Linked DNA regions of Struthio camelus. The protein of the gene in region 1 purifies or fractionates together with the protein of each later gene. This does not show direct contact. Links are inferred from orthologs where the notes say so. Each region holds a gene or a part of one and is shown in the gene's direction. Other genes may lie near its edges. The genes, in order: NHERF2, KCTD5, ARHGEF6 and PHLPP1.

Region 1 (6,913 bases):
CTTTGGCCAAAGGCGGCCCAAAGCCGAGTGCGAAACCTTTCATTTCTCGGGAGGGCAGTTTCTGAAGCAGGGAATGAGGTCAGACTTTGCTGTGCAAACTTTAAAAATCCCGGCCTCTCCCCCGCAGGGAGGCTGCCGGTCAAGCCCACTTTCTGTAATTGTGAAACTTTGCACAGCGTATGTATTTTGCATTAGCTAGGGAATATTGTCAGGCCTAGAGCAAGCAGCGGTCGGCGTACAGGTGTAATTCTATGTAAGTGCTTAATAAAGTGCAGTGAATGAATTATAAATGAACCTGTTTGCTTTGGAGCAGATGTCAAATGAAGAGAGCTGCACATTCTTCCAAGCCAATAAGCATGCAGAGCCGGGAAACTTCCTCAGCTTTCAAGTTAGCCCCATTAAGACTTAAATATTTGCCCAAATCAAAACGCATAGAAATCTAAATGGAAAAAACACCCCTCACTTCTGCAGTATCTGTTGAATCTAATCATGACTCTGGTATATCGGTAAGTGCAGAAGCCCTGATGGGCTCTCTGCTTTTTCTCTGCGCGGCTGCAGAGTCCAGCCGACGCTGCTTAGGAAACGGCAAGCTCTTCTCGCGAATTAAAGGGGTTTTGTGCTGCGCGAGGATGCATATTCGCACAACATATTTCCACATTCTTCCCAGCTCCCGTACATGACACTGGATGCTTTCCCATCGACCGCAGCGCAAAACACAGCGTGTCTCGTCAAGCCACGTCCATGCCAAAGCACGGCTTGCAAAGCCCAGGAGACCGCGTCGACGCTTGGAAGCAGAGGCGCAAAACCGCCGGGCTGAACCAGCGCTCGGCCGCGTCGTCCCCGTGCCGCGCAGAGGAGGAGCGGTTAGAGCAGCAAGGAGGGAGGGCGAGTCACCCCGCGGCGCGTCGGGCGCCTCCGAGCGGGAGCAGCCTGGGAAACGCTGCCCCGCTGACGGGCGCAGTGCAACGCGCGGGGAGGAAGGCTCGCACAAGTCTTCCTCGGGGCAGTTTGCAGAGCCGGCAGCAAGGCTGGGCTGCGTCCTCTTGCCTGGCAGGTGACGCCCAGCACCGAGCAGGCTGCTGGCCCTGCTTAATTTCTCTGTCGTTAATAGATGTTTCCTGGGGGGAAAGATGCCTTTTGAGGATGACAAGGACAGAAGGGAAAGCAGCAAATTCAGACAAGACTTGAGAAAGAGCTTCTGCTTTAGAAAATAAGCATTTTAGGAAAATTCAAAAATTTCATTTTCACGTTTTTGGAATGGTATTTTTCCATGTTTTTATTTTGCAGGTTACCAACACTTTTTTAAAGAATTGTTCAAACGGGTTAAAACCGTTCTGATTGACCACCCCAAAGATTTTCTCCCTTGTGGTTTTTGTTTTTGCACTGAATAAAAAGAAAAAAAGTTTTCGTTCAAACAAACTGGAAACAATTCCTTCTCTTCTCCCCTTCCCTCCAGCTTTTCAGTTTGCCCAGTGAGCGGAAAAATCAATTATTCGCACTCACCTCGGCTGATAAAAAGGCTGCACGACTCCGCGGAGAAGCTCGGGGGGTCCTCATGGTACACGGCGATAATCGCCGCATTTCCCGGCTCTCTGGCCTCCGTTCGTGTCGCCCGGCGGAGGCGGCCGGCGGCCTCCCCCGGCGCCTCCGCTCCCGGCCGAAACCTCCCGGCAAGGGGCGGCGAGGCAGCGCCAGGGCTGACCCCGCAGCCGGGCGCTGAAATCGCTCCTGCCTGGTGGTCCTATTGCCCTCAGCGAAGGCCACCGAGCGCTCGCGGTGACCATCTCGCTGGTCCCAGCGATACCCGCTGTTGTGCCGTCTCCTTACGTGCGAAGTCCGTACGGAGCACAGGGCATCTGGCTGGTCACTCTTGACGGAGGTACGTGATGCCATTCACTCCAGGACAGCACCTTCCCTCTAAGACACTTAGCAAGCATCTTCTCGATTCAAACATCTTTCAGACCAAGAGTTACTTCATGTACAGCTTCAGTGGAAATATTTTTTTTTAATAGACCGCAAATTAAAAAGCAAATCAACGTTCATCTCTAGAGTATTTTATTTGCAGCCTCAAGTTGGCTGTTGCATTTGCTTCAGCTCTACAGAAATCTGCCTGGAGAGCAGCTGGGGAGGGAGCAGCGCCACGGAGTAAAGCTAGACACGCTGTGACAGAGGAGCAGGACGAGCCGCTCCGGCTGGGCCGGCCGGTCGGCGCAGCGCCTCTCCTCCGGCTCGTTTCTGCCTTGTGAGCGGTTTCAAGGAAACGCCGATCAGGGACGTACAAGGGCGAGGAGGGGAACCTGTGCGTCCCACCAACACCAGCTCGCGCCATGCTGCAGCCCGGCCGGCGCCTGTCAGGCGCGCTGGGGACGGAGCAGGAGGCTGTCCGGGCTATAGCAGGGCCTGTCGCTGCATCTCCAACCGAAACGCTGGACCCGCATGCTGAGGAACGCCATCCGCCCCGGCCGGAGCGTATGGAGGACACGAAGCGTTCGGTGGAAGCTATGTAGGTATTGGGTGAGGAGATCTAGCCACGGCCCCTGTTGACAAGGAGCCCAGGATCCTAGTGGGAACCTCTCCCACTCCGGAGACATGGAGAGAAATGGGGTCCTGGGCACCCCGAGCATCTCCCCGCTGTGTGCCTCGGGCATCCCGGGCGGCCCCGCTCCGTGCACCCCGAGCATCTCCCCGCCATGTGCCCCGGGCATCCCGGGCGGCCCCGCTCCGTGCACCCCGAGCATCTCCCCGCCATGTGCCCCGGGCATCCCGGGCGGCCCCGCTCCGTGCACCCCGAGCATCTCCCCGCCATGTGTCCCGGGCACCCCGGGCGGCCCCGCTCCGTGCACCCCGAGCATCTCCCCGCCGTGCGCCCCGGGCACCCCGGGTGGCCCCGCTCCGTGCACCCCGAGCATCTCCCCGCCATGTGCCCCGGGCATCCCGGGCGGCCCCGCTCCGTGCACCCCGAGCATCTCCCCACCGTGCGCCCCGGGCATCCCGGGCGGCCCTGCTCCGTGCACCCCGAGCATCTCCCCGCTGTGTGCCCCGGGCATCCCGGGCGGCCCCGCTCCGTGCACCCCGAGCATCTCCCCACCGTGCGCCCCGGGCATCCCGGGCGGCCCTGCTCCGTGCACCCCGAGCATCTCCCCGCTGTGTGCCCCGGGCATCCCGGGCGGCCCCGCTCCGTGCACCCCGAGCATCTCCCCACCGTGCGCCCCGGGCACCCCGGGCGGCCCCGCTCCGTGCACCCCGAGCATCTCCCCGCCGTGTGCCCCGGGCACCCCGGGCGGCCCCGCTCCGTGCACCCCGAGCATCTCCCCACCGTGCGCCCCGGGCATCCCGGGCGGCCCTGCTCCGTGCACCCCGAGCATCTCCCCGCCGTGCGCCCCGGGCATCCCGGGCGGCCCCGCTCCGTGCACCCCGGGCATCTCCCCGCCATGTGTCCCGGGCATCCCGGGCGGCCCCGCGACCCCGGCCCGGCCCGGCCCCCCCCGCCTCGTCGCTCGCCCGGCCCCGCCCCCGTCTCCGCCCTCAGCCCCGCCCCCGCCCCTCCGCGGCGCTCCCGGCTCCGCGGGGCAGCGCGCAGCGTGGCCGCGCCTCGCTCCCTCCCCTTAGCCCCGCCTTGGCACTTAGCCCCGCCCCCGTCCCTTAGCCTTCCGCCCCCATACCTGCCTTTAGCCCCGCCCCATCCCGTTGCCCCGCCCCCTCCCCGCCCCGGCGCTGCGCTCCCGGCTCCGCGGGGCAGCGCGCAGCGTGGCCGCGCCTCGCCCCCAGCCCTGAGCCCCGCCCCCGAGGTTTAGTCCCGCCCCCGGGTCTTAGCCCCGCCCCCACTCTTAGCCCCGCCCCCTGGCCTTAGCCCCGCCCCGGGCTGGGGGCGGGGCAGCGCGCAGCAGGGCCGCCCCCAGCCGCGCCCACCGCCCCGCGCCCGCCGCCGCCGCCGCCGCCGCCGCCGCCGCCGCACATAAAAGGGCCGCGCGGCCGCCGCCGCCGCCCGCTCCGCTCCGCGCCCGGCCATGGCCAAGGACCAGCTGAAGCCGCGGCTGTGCCACATGCTGAAGGGGGAGAGCGGCTACGGCTTCCACCTGCACGGCGAGAAGGGCAAGAGCGGGCAGTTCATCCGCAAGGTGGAGCCGGGCTCGCCGGCCGAGGCGGCGGGGCTGCGCGCCGGCGACCGCGTCGTCGCCGTCAACGGGCTCAACGTGGAGCAGGAGACGCACCACCAGGTGGGGAGCGGACCCGGACCCGGACCGCGGCGGCGCGGGCCCCGTTAAGTTAGTTAACATCCTGCTCCCGGGCCGGAGCTGCTGCCGCAGCATCCCCGGGACGGCCGGGGGCGAGCGTGGCCAAGGCCGGGCTGGGGGAGCTGCTGGGGCCTCTCTTCCTCCTCCTCCTCCTGGCCTCGAGCAAGCGCTGCTCCTGCAGACACCCCCGGAGCTGCCCCGGGATGGACCCTGGAGTGGGCAAGGCCTTGCTGCTCTGGTGCAGCTGTTTTGGGCTGAAGCTGATGATATTTGCATCTTTGCTCTGCCTTTTTTTGTTTTGCTTTTTTTTTTTTTCCAAAGCAGAATGTGTTTTCTGGGTGTTTGGCTCTTGTCCCAGAGGCCTGCTGGGCAGCAGGGCTGTGCGCCTCTGGAGCGGCCCTTGCCTGAGGGCTTGGTCCCCAGGGGCTCCAGAGGTGCCATTGGTCCTTGTCATCCTGCTGGAGGAGCAGTGCCGGACGGGGGTGCCTGTCCCTCGGCTCGGAGGAGCGCGGGCCTCCTGCTGCAGCCCCTCGGCCGCGCGGGGCCGTGCTTTGGCAGCGACGGGGCTGATGTGCTCTCGGCAGAGGTGGAGGTTGCAGATAAGCCCAACCCTTCCTGGGTCTGAGTATCTCCACCACTGTGGGGTGTGCGCGGTGCTGATAGGGTTGGGGGGAAGCCCTCGGTCCACCCCGGGAGCCGTTGCACGGATGGGCGAGTTGCACGCTGCTGGCTCGCTCTGTGCGAGAGCGAGCGACGGAGCGGCGCCTGGTGAAGCCGCCTCACCAGGCAGCTGGTGTTTGGCAAGGGTGGAAAGACGCCGGCCGGCTCAGTTACGCTGGTGCCGCTGGTGCAGTCTGGGGTGACAGTCTGTGCGGATGGAGGTGCGGGAACGGTGCTGCCGGGAGCAGAGCTGGGCTCGAGGATGCTGGCGCCGCTCCTGCTGCACCTGGTTTGGAGCGACTTGTGGCTGGTGTGCCCGCACTGCTCCGTGCCCCGCTCAGCGGCAGCTCACCCACCAGGCCTTGGCCAGCGCTTGCCTGGTCCCTCTCTTCCAGGGTTTGCTGCCATGAGGCAGCAGTGGGTTGGAAAGCGTTTGGGGACCCGTGGGTGCCTCCCTGCCCTGGTGCCGATGCACCGTCTGCTGGCAGAGCAGTTCGTGCCGTGCCAGGCTGGAGCACTAGCAACTGAGCTGGGGGTCTCCAAGCAGGAGAGCGCTTTGCTTCATGCCGTGGCTTTGCACGGCGTTACCCAGCGCTCAGCTTCCCCATAGTGGGGTCAATGCAGGGACAGCATCCGAAATCCCTGACCCTTGAGTTCCCATGCTGGCAGTGGGTCAGCTGCTCCCTCCAGGAGCTGGCGTGGTCTGTGTGACCCTGTTCTCAGCTGGTGACTTTGCCGCATGAGCGCCTGGAGGACCCAGCTGCATGGTTTGGGGGCAGAGCGGGAGGGACGCAGTGGCGCAGCACCCAGCTGCCTTTCTCCTGCGTGCACCCCCGAGGCGCTGCCTGGTGGCACCTCTCCTGCCGCCCCGTGCCTGCTCCCTCGCAGGAGAAATGGCCTCGCAATGGTGTTGCCTGGCCCTTGTCGGCAGCGTAGGCGGCTGCTGCTGTGTGCAAACGGAGCTGAAAAGGAGCAGATGGATTTTCTGGGCTTCGGTGGAATAGCATCTCGTCAGGTCGGTTATGGATGGGAGCCCTGGGCAAGCTGCCGTCCGGTACGGTGCAGGGAGATGGTTTTCGGCATTCAGTGCAGTCGTTTATTCAGGACAAGCAGCCTTGTCTGCGGCCTATAAATCTCGCCTTGGTTTTTTCATTTGCAGATACGGAGTCTGTTGACCTTGAACGGAGCATGCAGGGGAGTAAATAACTGCTAACTAATTGCACATTAGGCTCGTTTGTCACTTCTAACCTTGGCGATGGTAACGTGTCTGGCTGGCGTGACCTAGATCAGAGCAGGAGCCCTGTAAGGAAACGCAGCCCAGCTTTGTGGGGTGTCCTGGGCCACCCGGAGCGCCGTGGCTCCGGGGTCCGCTTGCTGGGGCGGATGCGCGCGCCACAAGCTGTGATGCTGGCAGGAAGGGGGTTGTGTTTCGTCTGGGATCCGCGGCAGGCTCTGCCTGTCGAGGAAGGTCGGACAGCCCCTGCGTGGGGCGGCTGATGCCGGGATCCCCCCGTGGGTGAGCGGGAGGGGAGTGAGTGCCATGCAGGGGCCAGCATCTGTCCCCCCAGCCACCTCTCCTCCTCCTCCTCTGCAGGATGAAGGCTCCTGCAGGAGGAAGGTGCTGTTCAGCCTGTTGGAGCCTCTCCACCGAGGCTGCTGGCAGGGAGTCGTGGCAGCGGTTTCGCTGGCCTTTGCCCTGCTCCTATGTATGTCCTTAACCTGCCCCATTCCCATTGCCCTGGCTCAGCCCCATGGTTTTGCCTCCCAGCCCTTCTGGGGCTGTTGCCCCTCGTGCGCGGGGCGAGCCGGGGCAGGGAGCGACTCGCAGGGTGGGAAAGCTCTCGCTTCCCTGTGCGTGAACCGCAGGCTCGCCCCTTCCCGCCGCGCTGGGCTGACACCGCGAGCCCCTTTCAGAGCATCTGCCAGCTACAAAAACCATAGAAAACGGAGGCTGTGCGTGGACAATGGTCCCCATTCAGCCGAGCCGGGAGCTGGGGAGTAGCAAGGACGGGCCCAGC
Region 2 (7,464 bases), about 1.8 Mb from region 1:
TCAGATGTATGTGTCTGGCAGATGGACTCCGATGATACAGGTTGTGAGAGAGTAAAATGCTGAACATGGCACTGAAAGTTTTCTAAAATTGAAATGTTGGCTTCTGAAGCATATAAAGTTTTAAACTTTGAATTTTAATTTTAATTTGATGCATACGTGTGTTTAATCAAGGGACAATAAACTTACCAGCATGCTTTTAACTAATGCTAACTAAAAAATTAACTAGTTAGTGTAAAAAAAAAAAAAAAAAAAGTTACTGTTGAAGTAGTAAAATAGTTTTTCACCTTTTCAGGAGATGAGGGCTGGAAGCTTTCTTTCCAGGGTGTGCATGTATTGTGCATTTTAGTGGGGCCAACCTATTTACCTGGGTAGAGAAGGAAGAGTGAAAACTTTGTACAATTGATTACTTGATTTTTGTCTCTTTGTATAATGAGATGTACAAATAATCCTATTTTTGGTCTTTGGGCAAATACTTCAGACCTTTTAGCAATTCCGAAAAAAGTTTTAAACAGTTTAAGTGTTAGACCCATACAGTAATCTGAATGGTTGAAAATTCAAATGAAAATGTTAATACAAAGGGGAAAATGTATGGTACTTAAGGCATATCTATAAAATGAAAATATTTTTCATATCAGTCTCCTTTATCCTTTTCAAATTAAGGCTTTTTTGTGGTCAAACATTTCTTGCAATGTAGCAAAGACAACTTTTCCTACATGCTAAAATGACTTCCCTAATGGTGTTTTCAACACACCCATGTCCCTGAACGTTGCAGAGAGGGATGACCCAGGTCTGGGCAAAGGCATTCCTTCCTTGTTTTAAAAGCAGTATAAACATCACACCTATTTATTCATCTTCTGCAAATACCACCATCTCTTTGCCTCTTGAGGTCTGTTATGAAGTGCTTTTTCCTTCCACTAAAGAAAAAAGTTCAGCTGTAATGTTAAGAAAACTCACAGGCTGCTGTTTTGTGGCTTATCAGATGTCTCAGAAAATGCATGAAAGCTAGATTTATTTGTTGTACTGGGAGAGGGAGGTTTATTGTGCATTCTTTTTAAAAAAAAAAAAAAAAAAAAGTATTGTGTGGTTAAGCTTGATGACAGTTCAGTTCTTAGTCTCTTCCGGTCTTTAAAGAAGACAGTGCAGTTGCTTTTTCATTTGGTGAAACTATATTCTTGCAGTTGTCTTTTATGTTATCCCACCATATACACAGGCTTGAGAAAAGTAAATCACTAGCTTACAGTGCCCGGTGTTAGGGGAGCTAAGGTGTCCGAGATAAGAAAAACAGACCGTTCACGTTCCATCATAAGAAATTTCACCACATAGAAGGCAGACTCCTCGCCAGTGAAATCTGAATAGCGCAGTACACCTTTTGTTAAACCTATAGTTATCATCATAACCAAGATGACATGCAGTCTGAGTTTGTGGTGGTGGTACCCATTTGTTCTGTAGCTGTTGAATTCCACCTGTAAGTTGGGTCCACTAGAGGGAATTGTACAGATTCTGGATTTAGCTTTTGGTATAGAGATATAGACATATTCCCAACTTCATACTGGAGAGTCTGGCAGTGATGGAGTTTCATGATGCTACTGCAGTTGTTCAGTGTGCCAAAACTTGGCTTCCAAGAGTCTCTGGCAAAGTTGTTCTGCTACTAGTGAATTTCTTAGCTTCAGTAGGAACTAGAGTGATCTCCACTGGCCTTAGCTTCAGCTAAATATGTGGAAATCTAAAAATATTCAGACATGTTTTCTATAACATTTAGATGTGCAGTCATCTTGCCATAACAAAATACTTCCTTTGGTTTTTCATACCGTAAAAGAAACTCCTCTGTCTACTTCCTCCCTGCCCCCAAAAACTTTCAACCAAAGAAATCTTGACAGCAGTAAGCTGCAGAAGTCTGGAAAATTGATGTTTGTATTCTAGTATTCCTTTTCTCTTTTCTTTTTTTTTTTTTTCTTTTGACAATGGCATCATTAGAAAACTGTGAGCCTCTCTTACAGGCATTCTTCCCTTCAGAACTTTAATGTTCTGAATTGAGTCTTCCTCAACTGCTGCTTTTTTGGGAAGGGACCAGAAGCTTTTCTGGGAGAGGTGTTTGCCTTTCTCTGACTTTAAGTGAAAGCTGTAGTTCTTGGAAGATGGTGGAAGGGTAGGGTGAGGCAAGACAAACAACTGTGGATTTAAGTAAGTTTCATCAGTTTGCCCACTTAAATGTGTATTGGAAGGTGCTGCATACTATGAAGGGCTAGTTCCTATTTTAGATGTGTATAATTGAAGAATGGGATAATTTCAAATCATTGTCTTGAAGACTACTCCAGTGATTCATGGGAGTTCATGGAATCAAATACAAGAGGGAGATTTTTTCAAAGCTGCAGATAAACAAGTTACTCTCCCTGCTCTTAATCTGCGGTCTTTCCGAGCAGAAAAAGGTTGCTAATCACTGAAAGACTCTTCAGGCTCCTCACTGCAACCCTATTAAAAAAAGCAGTCTCGTAATTCATTCAGTCTTGTGCAAATTGAACACTTACCTATCATTTGTAAAGATTTTGGTGGTTAATGATGTGACTCATGTTTTGTTTGAGATTCGAAGTTCAGGAAAGTGGTTGTTGCATCGTTTTTGTATTGGGTGGAGCTTAAAGGCTGAAGTACTACTACTAGAAAGGATTTTTGAGCCACGTTGTTCAGTTTCTAGCCCAGTCATGGAAAGTTTGGAACTTCTTTGATAAAAATGGAGAAATTACTCAATTGCCACTGTCCTTAAAATATTTCCTGCTCAAAACTGGACTTTGAAGATGACTTTTGTACCTCTTTCAACTTCAGATGTGATGGCAAAGCAGTGGGAGCAGACTAATTATTATACTTATTATATTATGACTTATTAGCCACCCGGGCTAATAAGTTGTCATTTGCTAAGCAGTAGATGCTGAAGACACCATAACCTACCAAATAGTACTGCGCTCCACTGATTGTTTTTCTCCTCCTACCATGATTTAACTGTGAAGTGTATCTGCTATATATAATCCCAGAAAAACTTCAGCAGGTTGAAAAAAGATGTGATGCATCTACTCCACTTTCATAATACAACATGCTTAATGACTGTGCTTAACATTACTAAATTTTGTATTGGGAGCTTTAAAGAATCCTAGGGATTTTCCACACATGAATTTTTCTTCTGAATGATTTAGCAAAGTCAAAACAACTTCCTTTGGTCTGTGGATGAAAGAACACTTAATTTGAACACCTCATCTATGAAAAACTTGTGTATTAATAGTTGTCTAAAGATGTGGTCTGTGGATTCTGATTATTCTTTCTACTAGGGAATTACACAAATAGGTGTGGTATTTATATATTAAGTTTTACTGAATGCCTGTAGTATTTTAGGCAAATATTTTATTAATCAAAAGGAGTTGTTCCTCCTGCAAAGCTTCATGACACACATTGTCCATCTGTTGATCAAGTGCGCTTGCAGGCAAGTAATTCTCTGACCCAAAATGGCACATTTTCAGTTAAGATGAGGACCGTGATGAATTGAGGAGTTCATTTTTTTTCCTAAGAAATATGACTTTATACAGTGAACATGGTGAAGTTCTTAAGCACCCAGTAACCTAGTCTGTCTGCATGGCAGTGAATTTGGATGGTTACCACTTGACAAAACATCCTATGACCATGTACCAGCTCTGATTGGATGTGGCAAATGTTCTGAATGGTGGCAGAACTTAAAATTGCTGTATCTGACAAAAAAATTAGGAACCATAATCAGTTTTGATAGTTGTATGCTAGTGTTTTTCAGGTTGGTGGCAGTCAGTTATGTGTATAATATTCTCTACCTGGTTTGTAGCTGTAACTGTGATGTACAGGTAAAGCAAAAAAGGAGAAAAAAAAAAAAGGAAAAAAAAAAAAAGAAAAAAGGAAAAAATCCCCACCCCCCCAAACAGCCACTCTCCCTCTCACACACAATTCCCCTACCCCAAGAACATATGAAAATGGAAGCAGATACTGCAATGATAAGATACACACTTTTGTATTTTTATTCTTATAAGGTTATTTGCTGGCTCTTGTTGGCCTCTAGTTCAGTCTATGTTATTTAAATTCTAATATATGAATTATTTGGATTGAATTCATGTTCGGGGCCATGGTGTTGTATGTATTGATGTACAGCCTTGAATGTGAATAATTATTGTAAACTATATTTTACACCTTTTTTCTGGCTTTATTATATAAATTTTCTATTGGTCGATGATTTAATCATATCTCATAATTTAATGACTGTTTATTTTCCTCTCGACAGATCTCTGTGCTGTACATGTGTAGCTAGTGACTGGATGATGGATTTCACTTATGCTCGGTAGTCTGTAATAAAGGCATGTAGGGTCCGGGCCGGCCTCCGCCTCCTCCTTGCTCCGTGCGGCGGCGGCGGCGGCGGGGGGGGGCGGGCGAGCGCCGCGCCGCTTCCGGGGCGGGGGCGGGGCCGGCGGCGGCGGCGGCGGCGGCGGGAGGGGAGCGGTTCCCCGAGGGGCGCTTCCGGTGGGAGGCGCAGCTGGGGCGGCGCTTCCGGCGGCTGCGGGAATGGCGGCGGAGAACCACTGCGATTTCCCGGTGCCCCCGATCGGCGGCCTCAGCCTGGGAGGCTCGGGCGCGCCCTGCCGCCGCTGCAGCTCCGCGCCGCCCCCCGGCGCCGTCCCCGGCAAGTGGGTGCGGCTGAACGTGGGGGGCACCTGCTTCCTGACCACTCGGCAGACGCTCTGCAGGGACCCCAAGTCCTTCCTCTTCCGCCTCTGCCAGGCCGACCCCGACCTCGACTCGGACAAGGTGAGCACGGGTCCGTCCGCCGCCGGCTCCCCCCGGCCGGCCCCGGGCTCCCCCCCGCCCCAACGGCCCCGTCTGCCGCCGTCTTCCCCCCCCCGCCCCCTGCTCCCCCAGGCCGGCCCCGGGCTCCCCCCCGCCCCAACGGCCCCGTCTGCCGCCGTCTTCCCCCCCCCGCCGCCGGCTCCCCCCGGCCGGCCCCGGGCTCCCCCCCGCCCCAACGGCCCCGTCTGCCGCCGTCTTCCCCCCCCCGCCCCCTGCTCCCCCCGGCCGGCCCCGGGCTCCCCCCCGCCCCAACGGCCCCGTCTGCCGCCGTCTTCCCCCCCCCGCCCCCTGCTCCCCCCGGCCGGCCCCGGGCTCCCCCCCGCCCCAACGGCCCCGTCTGCCGCCGTCTTCCCCCCCCCGCCCCCTGCTCCCCCAGGCCGGCCCCGGGCTCCCCCCCGCCCCAACGGCCCCGTCTGCCGCCGTCTTCCCCCCCCCGCCCCCGGCTCCCCCAGGCCGGCCCCGGGCTCCCCCCCGCCCCCGGCTCCCCCAGGCCGGCCCCGGGCTCCCCAACGGCCCCGTCTGCCGCCGTCTTCCCTCCCCCCGGCCCCCAGCCAGCTCCCCCAGGCCGGCCCGTCCGCCGCCGGCTCCCCCCCCGGCCCCGCGCTCCCCCGGCCGCGGTCCCGCGTGGAGCCCGGGCGGCGGCGGCGGCGCGGGGCCGCCTTCCTGCGGGGAGCGCTGCCAGCAGCAGAGGGGAGCGCGGAGCTGGGTCCTGCGAGAGCGCGGTCGGGTCTCGGTCTGCAGGTATTCCGGGCTGTAGCTCTGCCGCTGCTGGGGGAGTTTCTGAAGGGTAGCATTGCTTAACGAGCCCACGTACTTCAAGGAATTTTTATTTGGAGGGTGGGTATGGGCTGATCTCTTGCAGACTGATTTGGTTCTTGAATAACACAGTCACATACGTGCGGACATATCAAAGGGAGCTCAGGATCGTTTATGTGTTTATTTAATTTTTGTGGTTTTCTGACTTACCTTATGGATTTAGTTTTAGCATTTTAGTGGAGTGTATGCTAGCATTGATGTCATGCTGTTTCTGCACTGTCATCACTGTAGTTCGATTTGAAGAACCAAATCAAGCTACTTTTCTGTATGGATCTCTCTGCTTGTTGTTAAAGAATACTGCATGAAGCTAGAATTCAGCATGTTAGAAGAATAACTTTTCTCAGTTGGTTGTAGCATTCTGTGTCTCAGCAGGTTTTCTGAGTGGAATATTATATATACTGTATGGGCTGCATCACAGGGGTGATATTTGTGTATTGATTCTGATTCATTTTTTACTAGGAAAAGAAAAGCTATTGATTAAAAATTTATGTATGGAGTGGCGTGTAGTAACGGATATAAAGCTTTCAGATAAACAATCAGGATTGCTTAGAAAACTGGGTCTTTTCAAACCAAATATGTTCCGGGACAGACAGATATGCAAAGTCATGCATCTGGGAACAGAGAATACAGAATATACTAGTAGAACAGAAGACCATCTTCGAAAGCGCTGGCTCCAAAAGAGATTTCAGAGCATATTGCACTAAAAGTGGACTTCCAGTGTAGCACCCTTAGGAGAAAGAAAGAAACAGCTTGTGATCCTTGAATAGATAAACAACACATGAAGAATAAAGAGATGATTTTTAGATATATAATTTCTCTTTGTATTTTATTTTTTTTAAGTGAGACCAGTAGTAAATCTCTTCATTTTCCCATGCCTAACTTCTAAAAAAAGATCTAGAAACACTTGAGAAAATATAGAACAGAGCCTAAATAATGTTCCAGAGTTATGGAAAAAATACCTCACGGTATGGCAGTTTGGGGGTTGTTTTTTTTTACTTCTGTTTTGGTTCAGTTTGTTTTTTCTGGAGAGGCTTAGCTTAAACTGACCTATAAAAAGAAATAAAAAATCTAGGTGACTTGCTTAGAGTCAACAACTGTCTTAACTTGGGAAGAAAAGCAAAAGCTTTCTTCTCAGGTTTCTTAAATAAAAAATAACACGTTTAATAGTTAAGGCACGTGTTTCAGTTAATCCACTAGAAGAAGCTGTGGATTTGCTACCTCTTGATGTCTTCAGAGACTAGGCACGTTTTTAGAAGATGTGATTTAGTCCTAATTAAGGTATTTTGGCAGACTTTTTTCATCAGTTGATGACTAAATCGTCTTTCACAAGAATAGTCAGTAAAGTGTTTATATCTTGCAAAACTGTATGGAGCTACTAATCTCTAACCTTTTTCTTTCTACGGTGTTTGCATCAGTGGATTGTAGCAACAAATGATACATTTATGCTAAGATTATTTAGCTATTTGGTAGGGTATGGAGAAACCTGATGTATTCCTTTCATATTTCTGGACTTAAATAGGCTATAGTTTTTAATAGTGTATGTGGTAACGTAAAACCGGTTGCAGTCACAGGTGCAGGAAGATGTAGCTCTGTTTACAAGGAAGATGTCTATACTTTATCTGAGCTGCTCAGATATTATTGGGTGTCTCTTTTCTTGCCAATAAAGAGGTCTGGTGGAAACCGGTTTAAAAAGATGCGAACAAATTGCATTGCCCTGTACTTGTGAGTAGCCTGTTGAACCCACAGTGGAACAGGACTGGAGCTGATTTGAAATGTAGAACGGGAATATGGTATTCTGGTGCT
Region 3 (7,041 bases), on another chromosome or scaffold:
GCGTTTTTAATTCAGTTCACACCACAACGTTATTTACAGATGTGCGTATGTGCATACCAGTTTATTATGGGAGAGCCAGTGGGATTTTGTGGTGGCAGTTTTGAAGGGATGTACCCTGGAATTACTTGGTGCTCCCCCCGGAGATGCTGTTGTACAATAGGAATACAGGTAGACCTCAGACTGTTTCGATTGTTGTAGTTAAGTACTGATGTATTTTCATACCCTTGGCACAAATTGAAAACAACCCAAATGTCTGCATTGTGCATGTATAAATACATTGATCAACTCAAAGATTATTTAGCCTTTTTGTCTGTCTGCTGGTTTCTGAGAGTGTACTAACTTGACTTTCCTCTTTTCAGTTATGGGGACTGGAAGAAGGCACTGGAGCAGTGGAGATGTGTTGGAAAATCGAAGGATAACAAAATACAACAGATAAAACTTGGGCTTTGAGTACGATGTTGACCAGTATTTGTTTTAGAGGGCTGTGTTTCATTCAGGAATTGCATCTGAAAGTAGTGCTACTTATCTCTTGGATGTAAGCTCTCAGATAAGTGGAAACCAGTTGCTGTTTCTGCAGCTAACCTCTTCTAAGTAGTAAGCCCTTTTTTTTTAGTCAGTATACATGCATCAGTGGATTGTGCAGCAGAAGAACATTCCAGCGGTGCTCTTCACATAGGGTGCTTTTGTTGTGTGCTAAAAAAGGAGCAAGTTTCATAAAAGTGAGTTTGAGCCCTCCAAAATGCAGAGGAAAAGGGTGTCCTTCACAAAGAAAGAGACCGATAAAAGTTGTATGACATTTTTACATTAACAGTGGTATAACTGTTCAAGCCTTTTTGATGGGAGGAAGGAAGTGCTGATAAAACCATATTTGTGATAAATCCCCAGAATAGTATTCAGAAAAACTCCAGCCAGCGTTACTACTACTTATACATGTGCCGTTCTATAGAAACAAGATGTTTTCTTAATTTACCTAGGTTTTGGTGCATTCATACCCTCATAAGTGTTGATGTGCCAATGTATACGAGAGTAATCCTCAGTCATCATTTTTTCATAAAGCTAACTACAGATTGATGGAAATCTTTACACAGTCATGGCTAATAAAGTTTATATTGACTTCTTGTACTGTAGACATAAACTGATTTTATTTAAACAACACCTAGTCTATAAGGATTAGCTTAAAAAGAAAACATGCATTTCTTACTGAAAGAATTTAAAACTGCCTTTGGGTTTGGGGTAAGACTCTCACTTTGAGCTTCAGTTATGGACTGCAAACTCTAGGGAGTGCGTCTTCCTGTATGTAGCAAGGCGATGGACAGAATTGCATTATTTTCCAGGGCTAATAAACTTACTGTTAAACAAAAGCATTATTAGCTTGTTTAAGGAACTCCTTGCTTCTTAGCTACACGTACGTGGTGGAAATAGTTACCATTATTATACAGTAATGGAAGTTTATTGTTATGAAGAGGTCTTAGAGAATGCACCTCATTTCTTCAAGAATGGTGATATGCTGTGCTATTAAAAGACGCCTTTTTAGCCGTAGTTTATCGTCTGGCTGCGGCTGCCTAAAATACAATCCCAGCACACGAGCTACTGTATGAACAAAAATTACGTCTGCCTAACATGGTAAATAGATCATGTTGGTGCTGCATTCCCATTAGCTTATGCGCTGACTCAAATTACGTTCTTGAAAGTCTCTAGTTTAAAAGGAGATTGTAGACCAACATGCTTTTCTAAAGCTAATACTATCGTCATTATCAGTCATTGTCTGAATCAGACTGCAATAGAAGTTTATTGGTAACTTAGGGGTGAAGGTTGACTCTGCATGAGAAGATTGACAGTTCGTTTGATTTGTCCCTGTCAGCAGATAGCTAATGTTGAGATCAGAGATGATAACTTTTCCAAAGAAAGACCAAACAAGAAACTGTTCCTCACTTTGTGGATCTACCTCGATACCCGTGGTTCTGCCACAGAATTACTTCACCAGTGAGAAGAGGTGAAAACATCGGTACATTTTCAGTGGGATCCTGATGTTCTGAAAGATGTAAAAGTTGGCCTCAAAGTAGTTAGAGTACCATATGTTTTGGGGGCTTTCTGAATGTGTGAGAGAGCAAATGGCTCTGGGTCAGTCTTTCGAGCTGTTGGTACGTGTCCAGCACGTCAGAGGTATTTTCATTTAATCATAGTTGCAACTGATGGATGCAGAACAGGCATGGAACTCTTAAGACTGTCTGCCAAAAAATGAAAGGTTAGATACTTGTTTTGGAGGGGGGAATGAGCAAAGTATTCTTTGGCGTTCAGGTTTGTAGTACCGCGTTTAATGAAGCAGGTGTGGATTTTTCCCTTCCTTGAAGTACTTCTCGTGCTCTACATCAGAAGCCGGTGGATTCTAATCAAGAATACTGGAGTGGATGTCTTCCATTTGAGAATGGTGGGCCACAGTATATGAATGAGCATTGCCAATTATCTTGCCTACTATAGATTTGAGAAAAGGCAAGCTCTGAAAGTGGAGAGTGCAAGTATGCACTTCCACAAACAAAATAGTACTGCTCATGAGAACTTTAAAAAAGCCTACTGTTTTGAGGGTCTCTAATTATAAATTTCAAGTAAATTTTTCTGCACATACGGATAGCTATAGATGAACTTTACCAGATGGCAGTGAGTTTTGTGATTTAGCTTCAGTCAGTGTTAACCATTCACTCTGGCAGCTGCTAGTGTTACTAGTATTTTCATATAAAACAGAATTCATCCCAACATCCTGTGGCCAAAAATCTCTAAACCTAAAAGGGCAGTTCTGAATTCTTACTACTAGCTATTAAAAATGATCCTTAGGTATGTCCCAGTCGTAGGACCTGGAAAGTGGGGACACAAAACAACACATACCTTGCATGTAGTTTTTTCCTTTTGCTCTTCTCTTTCTCCCTACACCTCAAATTATAAGCCTCAGCGATTCAAGAGAGCTGATGTCTTGAAACCAGCTGCTTCAAGCAACAGGCTCAGGAATTGATTTATCATTTAGAACATTGTCAGAGAATTTTTGGTCTCTAGGATAGTTACTTCTTCCTGTTTCATTGCTTTCTATCCCTGTTGCTCTAGTTAACTTCTTAGGAGTCATGAGTTGGTTAGAAAATGGTAGTTTTCTGTCTGTTGGTGAAAGGACAGTTGGAAAACTGTGAGATGACTGGACTCTACTAAATTAACATCACCAGTAGTGCTGGCTAATATTACCCTAGAGCAGGGTAAAAAATTCCTAAAACGACTCTATCCTCATGCAGTAGATCCTGTAGAGAGCTTGTAGAAAGGGACGCTTTAATGGGACAAGTAAAATAGTTGGAAATTTTCATTCTCTGCTTCATATAAAAAAAGACTTAAATTTGGTTTATGAAGTTTTCACAGTTACCCAAGATGTTTGCTTTGACAGATGGTAATCTTGCAAAAGAACATTTTGGATTATATGTTTATTTCTTGTATAAAATAGTTGAGGAAAAAAATGAGATTTTGACAAATGCGTGATTAGAATCATAATCAGATTTTGCAAATGGAAAACTGTTGTAAAATGGCAGTGATTTAAAATGAAGACTTTACCTCAGAAAGTTAAAAATTAAATTTTATTTAAAAGCTTGCATGGCATGTTTCCCCCCAAATCATCTGTAGTGTAACATACAATTTTAATACTGTAAATATTGCAGTGCACTAGGAAATACTGACCTTTACTTTGTTGAACAATAGCCACAAGACCAAGCTTACCAGGTTGTAGAATGACATCTGTCACAAGGAGAAAGTAACTAGGTAAGACCTTGGTACAATATAAGTATCTGCACAGAATACTTCTGTTTTCAGAAATGCTGAAAATGTGTAGTAGGTATGCTTTCACTATATCCCTTTGAAGTAACAGAGTTCTGTAAACCATTGTACAAGGACGTTTCCTACCTTAGAGTAACTATAGTTCTGGTTCTTAAAATTCAGTGAGTTTCAGTGCCCAGTGAAAAAAAGTCGTTTCACTCTTAAGCCCTGCACGCGCCAGAAGAGGCAGGAAGATGTAATCACGGATGTGGGTTAGAGCGAGTTGTTGCACAGAAGTGCAGTGAAGGCAGAACTCTCAGCAATGAATCCAGAAGAGCAAATTGTAACATGGCTTATTTCATTAGGAGTTTTGAATTCTCCCAAGAAAATAGTAGAGGATCCAGAGGAGTTCCTGAAAACTTCTCTGAAAGATGGAATAGTGCTTTGTAGACTCATTAATCGCCTTCTTCCAGGATCTGCAGAAAAGGTAACTTTTTAGATACGTTTCACTAGCCTGAAGTTAGAGCGCTGTTTGGTGAAATAGTGCACTGCTTATTATAGGATATGGTTTTCTTTGGTAGGTAGCATGAGTGAGGAAGATCAGCAAGATCAACATGTTTAAGTTACTAGTTAAATCTAACTTAGGGTAAAGTAGGATCCTAGCTTTCGGTTTTTGATTTTCTCTCTTTAACATCCACAAAAACCCAGAAGGTTGTAGTTTGGCGACTTAGGTGTTCCTTTCAGCGGCAGAGGAAATACTAGGCCTACCAAAAGTCAAAAAACACCTTATTTTTGAACAGATGGATGTGTGGTTTGTCTCTATAGAAGTAAATATAGTTTGGAACTGTCACTGTAAAATACCTTGCTATTCAGGAAGTACATTGGGGAGAGCAAGATGAGGCTAGAAGTAAATGAACCTTGCATCCGTGCCATTTTGAACTGTTTCAAGTCAAGCAAATACGTTTATGTTGAAGCAGTTTAAGCCATCTGAGAACCTTGTATTAGGGTTTTGCTAGGCATATGTGTGTGCAGTCCAAAACAGTGATAAGTAACTGTGGGGAAAAAAGGGGAAGGAGTGTGATGAGAGATAGGAAATGGCAGCACAGAAGAGAATCTGTTTTAATTAAAGGAAGAAGCAGGTTCGTCCCCACCCTGTAAAATAGGTGCCTTTGTTTAAAAAGCAAAAATCACTTTTGTTAGCTACTTATCTCTTGTTTATATATGATGGTTTGGGGCAGTGCATTCTTAAAGGTCATCAGTTTCCCACTATCGCTTTAGGGCACTGTCGTATGTTGACATTCAAAACAAGATGCCGACCATTTCGATTTATGCATCACTTCCTCCGGTGGCTCTTTCTTCCTGGTTCGACAGCTTGCCTGCCACCCCCATCCGCCCCCTTAAGAAGCTTCCCTAATTCAATATAAAACGCACATGTCAATATTCATGCAGGCCTTCTGAATAGAGGCTGTGCAGAAGGTAACATAGTGATCTTGGTGGATTTTATTTCTTTAGTATTGTCTGGAGCCTAAAAATGAAGCTGATTGCATCAGTAATATTCAAGAGTTCCTAAAAGGCTGTGCAGTTTTTAAAGTGGAGGTAAGTCAACTAGTATCCTTCACATTATTTTGTTCTCATAATGTGCTTGTTTAATATATATTCTAAAAGGAAGCCAAATACCAGAGGGGCAGGTAGTCATTCCTAATCTTTTGTATCGGGAACGTGAATAAGAATGTGGGTAATGTAATATTGTGGCTGGAGAATTTGGAAATGGAGTGTTTTGACTGTGAGCTTAACAGATTCCTTCAAGACTTTGAGAGGAATCTAAACAGTCACATAGAAATATACACAGCGATAACAGAAATTCTGTCTAAACACAGTTGAGCTGTGTTGACCGCTTTGGTTTTTTTTTTTTTTTTTTTCCCTCCCCCACAAGGGCTTGCCATTTTTAGCCTTGCTTTAGTATAAAGGTGAAATATTCTTAATACTGCAGTATTTTTATCCATTTGCAAGCACTGAGAGAGATTCTGCCAAATACGTCATATGAAGTGGTCCTTATACATACAAATAATCCTATTGTAGACAAAAGATAACTTTTCAGTGGCTATTCCTGGTGCTGTATGATTCTTATGCCTAATCATCGTTCGTATTTACAAGAACAGAGTCCAAATGCATCACTTAAGAGTTCAGATAATTTTGCCGTTATATTTTTACAAATGCACATGCATTTAAAATGTTTTTAAAAACTTTGATATAACCCTTAAATTTCTACAGTAAAAAGGACCCTGTATCTAAGAGCTGTCACTAACTTGTTTGAAGTTTTATCCACATTACAAAAAATATATATATATATTCTGAAGATAAATTCCGCTAGAAGTAGGGAACAGCATCCTTGGGCATTACAGAAAATTATGCACCACAGTGAGAGAGGGTCGAACCCATGGCAGCCCTGTTGCTGTGCTTTTCCTTTGGAGGTCTAAACAAGCAAAAAGAGACACTCTTCTCTTTTTAGCTAGCCGGCATGAAAATTCCTTCATTCCAGAAGTGTTTAACTAGCCTGTTGTTTCCCACTAATCCATTGCTAAAAGCCTACTGCAGCAGCCTAGTTTTAAGAGCAGACACATATAGAATCACTGAAGGGCTATCAGATCAGAAATCAGTGTTGCCAGTCTTCTGGTACTTGACCATGTGATTTTTTTTCAGTTTTTCAGAGAGATTATTTTTCTATTTAAAAAATAGATCTAGTCATAATTGTTGTGGTGGAAAACACTAAAAATAGGAATCAAACTGCAAAAATACAAGTCAAGGGAACAGTCTTGAACTCTGTCACGCTTTAAAATCTCATAATTTTTAATCTGGTCCTGAAATACTGCAGCCCCACTTCACAATTTTCAAATACTAGGGATGGGCAATATTTTGCATCCAGCCCTGGATGCAGCTCTGATCGTACTTGTTCCTTTTCTTTCTTGGTTTTATTTTAAGAAAAGAGTTCCAAATTTTTGTTTTTCTGATTTATAAGCCCCGTAATCGTTGAAATACTCTGAGCCTTCAGTTACTTTCATAGTGCACGTGATTGCCCCTTCTCAGTTCTCTAAAGCTAAATAAAAGCTCAAATCGAAAGTAGACCTCTAAAGCTAAATAAAAGCTCAAATCTCTCAAGCTTGCATTTAAATTTTGCAGCCAAATGAAAATAATTTCTCATTGTTTTTTCATGGTACCAGAAATATTAGTAACAGTCATATTAGAGCACCAAGTGAAAACAGG
Region 4 (7,905 bases), on another chromosome or scaffold:
TATAGTCAAGGACTGGGGATTAAGCAATTCCTGTTTACTGAGGTCACACTATTTTGAAACGATATCTTTCAAAATAAAAATCAGACTGGGTAATCATTGCATATTTGATATAGTAAAAAAAAAAAAAAATCCGTTTGAAAATAGTTCATGGTAAAACTGAAAAAGTGTTTTTCCACAAAAGCTGTATGCAGTTTGTACTATCCCATGACAGCTGGAAGTATTTCAGAAAACACAGAGAAAAGCAGTAAGGTGTCACTGAATTGCCCGCCAGCTAACTATTAATTGTAGCTAATAGCCAGGATTACACTAACTGAAATGGTAAAATGTTAATATAGAACAGAACTTGCAGTAAAATGAACCGAAGGTGGACCTGGTCCACTCCTCTACGCTTGCAATGAGAAAGTAAAACCACAGAGATCAACTGATGCCCATAATCTGTCCCTTGCCCTGTAGAAATATCTAGTAACAGCACAGGGTGTCCCCAAGGGCTTTATGGGAATTTGTGCGAAACAGGGGAGGCTGCCCTCCTGCAGATTTTATAAGTAGTAAAATAGGAGTTAATGTACTCCAAGCACCACTACAGTTATTCACTCAATCAGCTCTATGGTTGCTACTGAGCAATAAGAGGGCGTATGGCAGCCTGACGTCTCCCACTGTAGCTGGGCTAACTGCTGGCGGAGGGGTAGCCAGCAAGCACCGCAGCAACTCCAGCATCTGCGAAGCTTTCACCTAACCTTTGGTCTGCTCTTGTTGCACAGAGATCTCCCTGTCTCTGATAACCGTATATTTAATAAAGTCCACCAAAGTCATCTTGTGGTTTCCAGGCCTTTTGGCATTCTCCTAGCAGATTATCCATGGCAGCGTATAAGTTGTTCATTCGATATAAAGAGTTTTGGTATGGAAGCATTTATAGCAATCTGTGGCTAATTTCTTTTTTTTTTCCTTAGTTTTTTGTTTACAGAAAACTCTTCTTCAAGATTGCCAGATTCTGGTCAGAAAACTCAAGACTGCAAATCATCTTGTTTCATTTTGCTTTTTTTCCAAACAGCCGTCGTCAATCAAACTTTGGAAAAGGGAAATGTGTATTTCATCCTTCCACTTCCTCCTGAGAAAAATCAATTTCCTAAGCTCAATTCACATGTCTTATAGCAGCGGTCAATCTATATCAAAATTCACCATTCCAGCAGAATTAGAAACTATCTGTTACTGGAAAACAGTGAATAGTACAGTTTTGTCATACGCCTGGGAGTTCACTTTGAATATGCATACAATTACAGATTTCAAATACACAAATATATATATATAAGAAAATATAGGAAGACATTGCTGATGAAAAACACTTCCCTGCATAAAGTAGAAATAACCTGGCTTTGTACCACTGACATTTGGACAGGTAGAGTCACAGCAGAAACCACTGCTTTCATATTCAGAAAACTATGAAGAGCTACAATGTGGTCTCTTTTCTCCTGATGGCACAACTCAGGTCTTAGAGGATGCTGGCAGTCTCACTGTAGCCTTCTGCTCCTGAACAGTTTTCACAAAGCAGTGATAATTCCAACAATTTTCCACCCTTGGGACTTCAGTACCACTACTTTGTTTTTTAATTGCATAAAGCTCTTCATTAGCAAGGCCCCTGGCAGTGGTAAGTTAGCCTAGCAACAGGAAGAGTGAGGTCAGTGCAGTCGCTCGCCAGTTCTCAGAGCTGTATTGCAGATTGCTGCTGCTCTGCGTGGACTGAGAAAGCTTCAGAGTAAATCAGAGCAGGAGCTCTATCAGTTCACCCCACCGAGGATCTGATCCAAGGCTATTTAAATGACCTTAGCTGTGTGTTCTTACGCTATATAGACTATCTCACCAGAGGAGATGAGAAGAGCTTGCCTTGTTTAGTCTGTCAGACAAAGACAAAGATGAAGACTGGTAGGGGATACAATTGCTGCCTATAAGTACATTGGGGGAAAAATACTTGACGGGAGTGAAGTGAAAAATAGCTATTTGAGTCAAAGGGCAATACTGGCTTGTGAACAAATGAGTATAGGCTACCCATGTGTAAATTCAGACTGAAAACGGGAAGAAAGTTCCCAGCCATTAGGGCACTGTCTTCCATTTGTCTTCCATTTCGATGGCAAATCAAGTCAGCCCATTTCAAAACGATATGCCAGAAGTTAATCTACAGTGTTAGGGAGACCTCACAAACACGCAGCACTATGGGATGCGGTATCAGCAGTCATAAGGGAGAAAACTTGATGTCCCCATGAGATCTCTTTTCCAGTTCTATGTTCCTAAATAATATCTGAGAATCTCTTGTGTTCTGGATTTTTTTTAGTGCAATCTTAACTATGAACACTCTCTCCCTGCTCCCTCCCTATCTCCTCCAAGGCAAAATAGCAACAAAACTTCCTTCCAGGGCAGCAAACTTTTCTAGAAGCTCCCTTTTATTTATGTTATTTACATTTAAGGAGTTATTACTGTTAACATGTGTATCTACAACTTACTGTCTCCTGCTGAGTGTATCTGTGTGTGTTTGCATGTAAGCCTTTATTCTCACACACTTAAATCAAGACACCTGGAGTAACTGTAGTGAAACTGGTGGCATTAGGGTGCTGTGAAATCAGCAGAAAAAATTGAAGAGAACGTACGAAGCAGTCAGAATCAGACTGCAACACGCTCAGTGCTGCTCTTATAGCATGTACTGCTACCGTCGTTGGAGTTTTTGGGCATCAGTTTAATCCTTTTACGGCCAAGTGTTGCCATCACCCTCTGTTAGTTTATGTTTGGGATGTGATTCTGGCTATCTAGCGCAGGAAGAACTCCAAAGACGTTTTGCTGGTGACTGGAACTGCAGATATAGACGAGCGAACGGCAGGATCACAACATAACAATTAATTTACAGATTGCTCTGTTCACAAAGTGGATGGTTTCCATATAAAGGTAAAACATGATCCTCGGTATTACAAAATCTCTTAAAAGGTAGACAGCTGTTTAATAACAACTCTCTATATATGTACATTCTGTTGTAGGTTCCTTAGGGAATAACTCTGTTTTCTGTGACGTGTTTAACCCACTCATACAGGGTGTGAAGACAATACTGTGCAAGGGTGGAGGAGTGTTTTATTAGAAGAGATAAACTTTAGTTTTATTATGGTTCTGGTTTATTTATGGTTCATATATTATGCGTATGTACTAAAAAAAAAACTAACCAAAAGTACTGGTTCACTGACACTGAGGATTTATCTCAGGGTTCTCAGTGATGAAGATTTATCTCCCCTAACACTGATGTAACTGGTTAATTGCCCAGAACTCCCACTTTATTGAAGTCTATAGCATTTCTGATGAATATCTGGCAAGATGCTTCATTGCAGTTTTACAAAATTAAAAAGGAAAGATCTCAAGCAGCTACAGCCTAATCCAACTGACATTACTCAGCTAAAACATCCCCATGAGTTTAAGAGATTTTTCTGAATACTCTGTCCTTACAGCATAAAAACTCATGCTTTCAGCTGCTAATTGCATTTATCTGATTGTAATTTATCTTTTCTGTAATTCATTTAAAATCATGTTATTAAATAGCAACATTTCCCCCAACTGCTGCTGCTACTAAGCAATTTTTTAAAAATTAAGTATTTTCAGTAATTTCAGTCCCTGAACACATCAGGCTAATAGCACACAAACTCTGTGCACCTACTCACAAAGCAGCTCTTTTTCTCTCTCTTTATATACATACAAATATATATCTATATATATATATCTCTATCTCCCACGCACACGTTTACATCTTGACTCTGAAGAGACTGTCTCAGATGAGCAGATAGCTCAGGCTCAGCTGAGACAGGCAATAAGGAAGATATGTCAGGTTTAAGAGAATGGCATGGCTATGGTCAATGAACCTGTAAAATCATGTCGTGTATGTTGCCAGATGGCTATTAGCCAGCAATTACTGTGAAGCACCGGTGTTCATAGCGAGGCACAGCAGAAGGGTGACAGCCCACAGGTCTCATTATCAGTGCTGCAGGCCATACCGTTTCCCTTGATCAGCTCTTTCTGCAAAACCTTCTGATAAGACTTGAGGAATATAATCATCAGGCACGGGACAAAGTCCTGGAATAATTTTAAAACTGCTTAAGCCCCGTGCCGCAAAGAGTCGCAGCATAGCACACCTCCCCAGGGTCAACGACTGGAAGTGAAGAGACTTCCAGTATGTTCTGGACTCCCGCCCTCACGCTCGCCCCCTCGGCGTGCTCTCACCCCACAGGAGCTCCTATGAACAGCTTCTAGGAAAGGAAGCAAGGCGCAAGGGAAGCTTGGCGGTGGCAAGCGGGCAGCTCTGAAACACGACGGTCCTAGGGTGGGCAGCCCAGCGGGCCCCGCCACCCGCGCGGCGGGCAGGAGAGCAGGGGCGGGACCGCACTAGGGCTCTACGTGCTCGGCCCGGCAGGCGGGCGCCCTTTAGCAGCGGCAGCAAGCGGCGGCAGGCTGCCCGGCCGCCCGGCCGCCCGCCGGGGACAACGCTCGGGAGCACGGCGTGAGGGCCGCCAGCAGCCCGGCCGCCCGGCAGCGCGCCGCGCACGCCAGACAGCCCAGCCCAGCCCGCCGCCGCGCTCAGCGGCGCAACCCCCCGCCGCGGCGGGGAGCGGGTGCTGCCGGGACTCGTAGTCCGCGGGCGGGCTCTGGACTACGCTTCCCAGCCGCCCCCGGCACCAGGCGCGGTCACGTTGTGTTTATCGGCCAGGCCCCGCCGCGCCGCGCCGCGCGAGCGGTGGCGTCACCCTCGCGAGCCTGCCTCGCTCGGCGGCTCTTGTGAACGGCCAGGCGGGGGCTGCTTAAATATTCATGAGGCGCGGGGCGCGGGAGGGCAGAGCCCGCCCGCCCGCCCTCTCCCTCCCTAATGGCGCTCGCGACAGCTGGGGAGCGGGGCTGAGCCGAGCGCGCGGCGCGGCGGCACCGGCGGAATGCTCCCCGCTGCTACGTAATCCCCACGGAACGCGGCGCCTCGCTCCCTGCCGCTCCCCCCGCGCCGCGCCGCGCCGGGCCGGGCCGGGCCGTGGAGCGGCGCTCCCAGCAGGGCGGCGGCGGCATCCCCGGCCCCGCGGGCAATGGAGCCCGCGCAACAGCGAACGAGAGAAGCCCCGGCGGCGGGGAGCGGGCGGGGGGAGCCGGAGAGTAGCTCCCCAGGCAGGAGGAGTCAGGCGGCGGAGAGCAGCGTGGAGCCGTCGGGCAGCGGCGGGGCCGGGCAGCTGGACGGTAAAGGAGCCGGCGGCCCGCGGAGGCGGCGAGGGGTGGCTGGCGGCTTCGCTCCCCCCGCGGCGCTGGCGGCCACCGGGGCTCCGGCGGCCGCCGGCGGGGCCGGCAGCGCCAACTCCCTGCTCCTGCGGAGGGGGAGGCTGAAGAGGAACCTCTCGGCCGCCGCTTCCTCGCCCGCCGCCGCCGCCGCTGCCCCCGCCGCCTCGCTGGGCACCCGCAGCTTGGACAGGAAAGCGCTGCTGTTGAAGCCGCCGCGGCAGCTGCAGCCGTTGCAGCCCCCGGAGCGGGACTGGGTGCGGCGGGACCTGCAGCGGGGCTGCGTCCACGTCTACGAGCGCCACATGAACTGCTACCTGCGCCCGGTGCTTTGCACCCTGGAGACCACGGCGGCCGAGGTGGCCGCCCGGCTGCAGCAGCTCGGCCACAGGGGCGGCAGCAGCGTGGTGCGGGTCCTGGGCAAGGCGGGCGCGCCGCCGCCGCAGCCCCCGCCCGAGGCGGCGGCGGCGGCCCCCGCCGAGCCCCCCGCGCCCGCCGGGGCACCGCCCGAGCCCGCGGCGGAGAGGCGGCGGCCGCCGCCGGACGAGAAGCCGAGGAGCCACCGGGGGACGCGCAGCGGCTCGTCCGGCGCAGACTGCGGGGAAGCGGCCCGGCCCGGCCGCCTGCCACTGGGCGGCAGCGCCGAGGAGGGTAACTTGGCCGGCGGCCGGCCCAGCCCGGCGCCCTCCGACTTCAGCCCCGGGGCGCCGGTGCCGCCGCCGAGCGAGCTGTACCTGGCGGGGCCGCCGCTGTCCTGCCCTTCCCTCCTGGGCGAGCTGGGGCCGGCCGGCTCCGACACGGAGAGCTTCAGCCCCAGCGCCGAGAGCGTCTCCGACCGGCTGGACCCCTACAGCAGCAGCGGCGGCGGCGGCGGCTCGTCCTCCTCGGAGGAGCTGGAGGTGGAGCCGGTGCCCCCCGACGGGGAGGAGGCAGGTGCGGGGCCGGGCCGGGGCCAGCCCTGCCCGGGGGAGCCGCCGAGGGCGGCGGCGGCGGGCGGCGGGCGGGAGCTGCCGCCGGGGCCGCCCGCCCTGTACGTGCAGCTGCACGGGGAGACCAGCCGGCGGCTGGAGGCCCACGAGAAGCCCCTGCAGATCCAGAACGACTACCTCTCCCAGCTGGGCTTCCGGGACCTGTGGCGGGTGCAGGAGGAGGGCATGGACTCGGAGACCGGCTGCCTCATCCGCTTCTACGCAGGTGAAAGGGGAGGGCGGGCGGCGGCGACCGTTAGGTGGGATGGCGCGCGGGAGGGGGGGACAACGACCGTCAGGGCGCGCCCGGGCCGTTGGTGCGGCGGCGGCGGGGCGGCCTGTGGGGCAGGGCGGCAGGGGGTTTGCCCGGCGCGGCCGGGAGGCGCCGAGGCCGGTGCGGGGCGGGCAGCGCCGCTCCTCCTCCTCCCCCCTCCCCCCCCCCGGCTCCGGAGCGGGGCGGATTTGCGGCGGGGCCGTTAGCGGTGCTGGCAGTTGCCGGTTGCCTGAGCGCTCCCGTTGGCCCCCACAGGGCCGGTGTTTCGTAGCGCGCTGGGGTCACGAAGGCTGCTCTCGGGTTGTTTGCTGTTCCCATCAGCGACGCCCGGCGTTTGAGGTTAAATCGGTTTTAATCTGTCGCCTTCTTCAGGGAAGGGAGATAGATGCGTTGGTGCCGCTCTTCAGGGCGGAAGGTCAAAGCCCGTTTCAGACATTTGCATAATGCTGATGGCTCGTTCACGGTTCAGTCTAGCTGTTTGCTGTGGTGTGTCTTTTAAATTGCTTAATAACGGCGCTGAGGGCAACGTGGGGTTATTGAGAAGGGATGTAAGGGAAGATCCTCACAGTTTAACTTCTGAAATGAATTGTACAGGGTGCACAAACTCCTGAACTGAGCGTGATGCCTTCCTGCAAACAAAATCCTATACTTAGTTTTCTCTATTGCTGGCACTTGTGATCAATTTTTAGAGCTGGAACTGTCTGTTAGGGTAGCAGGGCTTCACAGCGAGATTAAGGCAGGAGGCAAAGGAAAGTATGGCAATACGGAGCATAGCCTTTGAAACAAGTTAATCCAAATCTTAATCGTAAAAATACGAAAGCTATTTAAGGCAGCCTCGCTGTTAGGCTTGTGGTGCAGAATTCGGGGAGTATAGGTGGAAAAGTTAGTTCCCGCGTTGTAATTATGCAGCACTTTGCAGTTTTATAGTGGTTTAAAAATACTTTCTGTGCCAATTGAATTGGTCTGTATAGAATACCTGTTGTAATCTTGAGGGACTGCTTGTTTTCCTAAACGGTCTTGGCCACTCTCTAAGAAGAGGAGAAATTGTTTAATGTCCAATTATACATTCAAATACTTACTACATTTACCTATTTTGCAGGACAGCATGCTGTCTGAAGATAAGGCCGAAGATAAGTAGTGCTACCAAAGTAGGAACAAATGACATCCCCTTGCTGAGCTGGCTTAGCAGCGTGGTTCTTGACTGAGCCCTGAGACTTTGGTGCTTTAGGACTCAAAAATACTGAGATTCTTGTCCGTTGTGAATACCAGTGAATGTAAAATAGAGATTTTAATGGTGTGGTGGGAAGGAGAACAGTACGCTAAACAAGTGCTCTTCTTTAGTCAGGAGAGAATGTGGGAGAGGTGGTCAGTAGTTGCTTCAGCTTTTCT

Evidence for each region.
Region 2: the proteins of NHERF2 (region 1) and KCTD5 purify together in Homo sapiens (affinity purification with mass spectrometry; 3 studies listed by BioGRID and IntAct, with this or other methods). This does not show direct contact. The link is inferred for Struthio camelus from reciprocal best matches to the Homo sapiens genes NHERF2 and KCTD5.
Region 3: the proteins of NHERF2 (region 1) and ARHGEF6 purify together in Homo sapiens (affinity purification with mass spectrometry; 3 studies listed by BioGRID and IntAct, with this or other methods). This does not show direct contact. The link is inferred for Struthio camelus from reciprocal best matches to the Homo sapiens genes NHERF2 and ARHGEF6.
Region 4: the proteins of NHERF2 (region 1) and PHLPP1 purify together in Homo sapiens (affinity purification with mass spectrometry; 3 studies listed by BioGRID and IntAct, with this or other methods). This does not show direct contact. The link is inferred for Struthio camelus from reciprocal best matches to the Homo sapiens genes NHERF2 and PHLPP1.

What each region holds. Positions count from the first base shown.
Region 1 is NC_090956.1:2,049,833-2,056,745, reverse strand, and holds the start of NHERF2 (Na(+)/H(+) exchange regulatory cofactor NHE-RF2), read left to right. Parts: upstream 1-3,910; 5' UTR 3,911-4,007; coding exon 4,008-4,217; intron 4,218-6,913.
Region 2 is NC_090956.1:285,259-292,722, reverse strand, and holds the start of KCTD5 (BTB/POZ domain-containing protein KCTD5), read left to right. Parts: upstream 1-4,456; 5' UTR 4,457-4,563; coding exon 4,564-4,806; intron 4,807-7,464. UniProt on the Homo sapiens protein: Its interaction with CUL3 suggests that it may act as a substrate adapter in some E3 ligase complex. Does not affect the function of Kv channel Kv2.1/KCNB1, Kv1.2/KCNA2, Kv4.2/KCND2 and Kv3.4/KCNC4.
Region 3 is NC_090952.1:22,989,791-22,996,831, forward strand, and holds the start of ARHGEF6 (rho guanine nucleotide exchange factor 6), read left to right. Parts: upstream 1-4,033; 5' UTR 4,034-4,102; coding exon 4,103-4,267; intron 4,268-5,237; exon of another isoform or gene 5,238-5,292; coding exon 5,293-5,376; intron 5,377-7,041. UniProt on the Homo sapiens protein: Acts as a RAC1 guanine nucleotide exchange factor (GEF).
Region 4 is NC_090943.1:92,380,764-92,388,668, forward strand, and holds the start of PHLPP1 (PH domain leucine-rich repeat-containing protein phosphatase 1), read left to right. Parts: upstream 1-4,893; 5' UTR 4,894-5,090; coding exon 5,091-6,468; intron 6,469-7,905. UniProt on the Homo sapiens protein: Protein phosphatase involved in regulation of Akt and PKC signaling.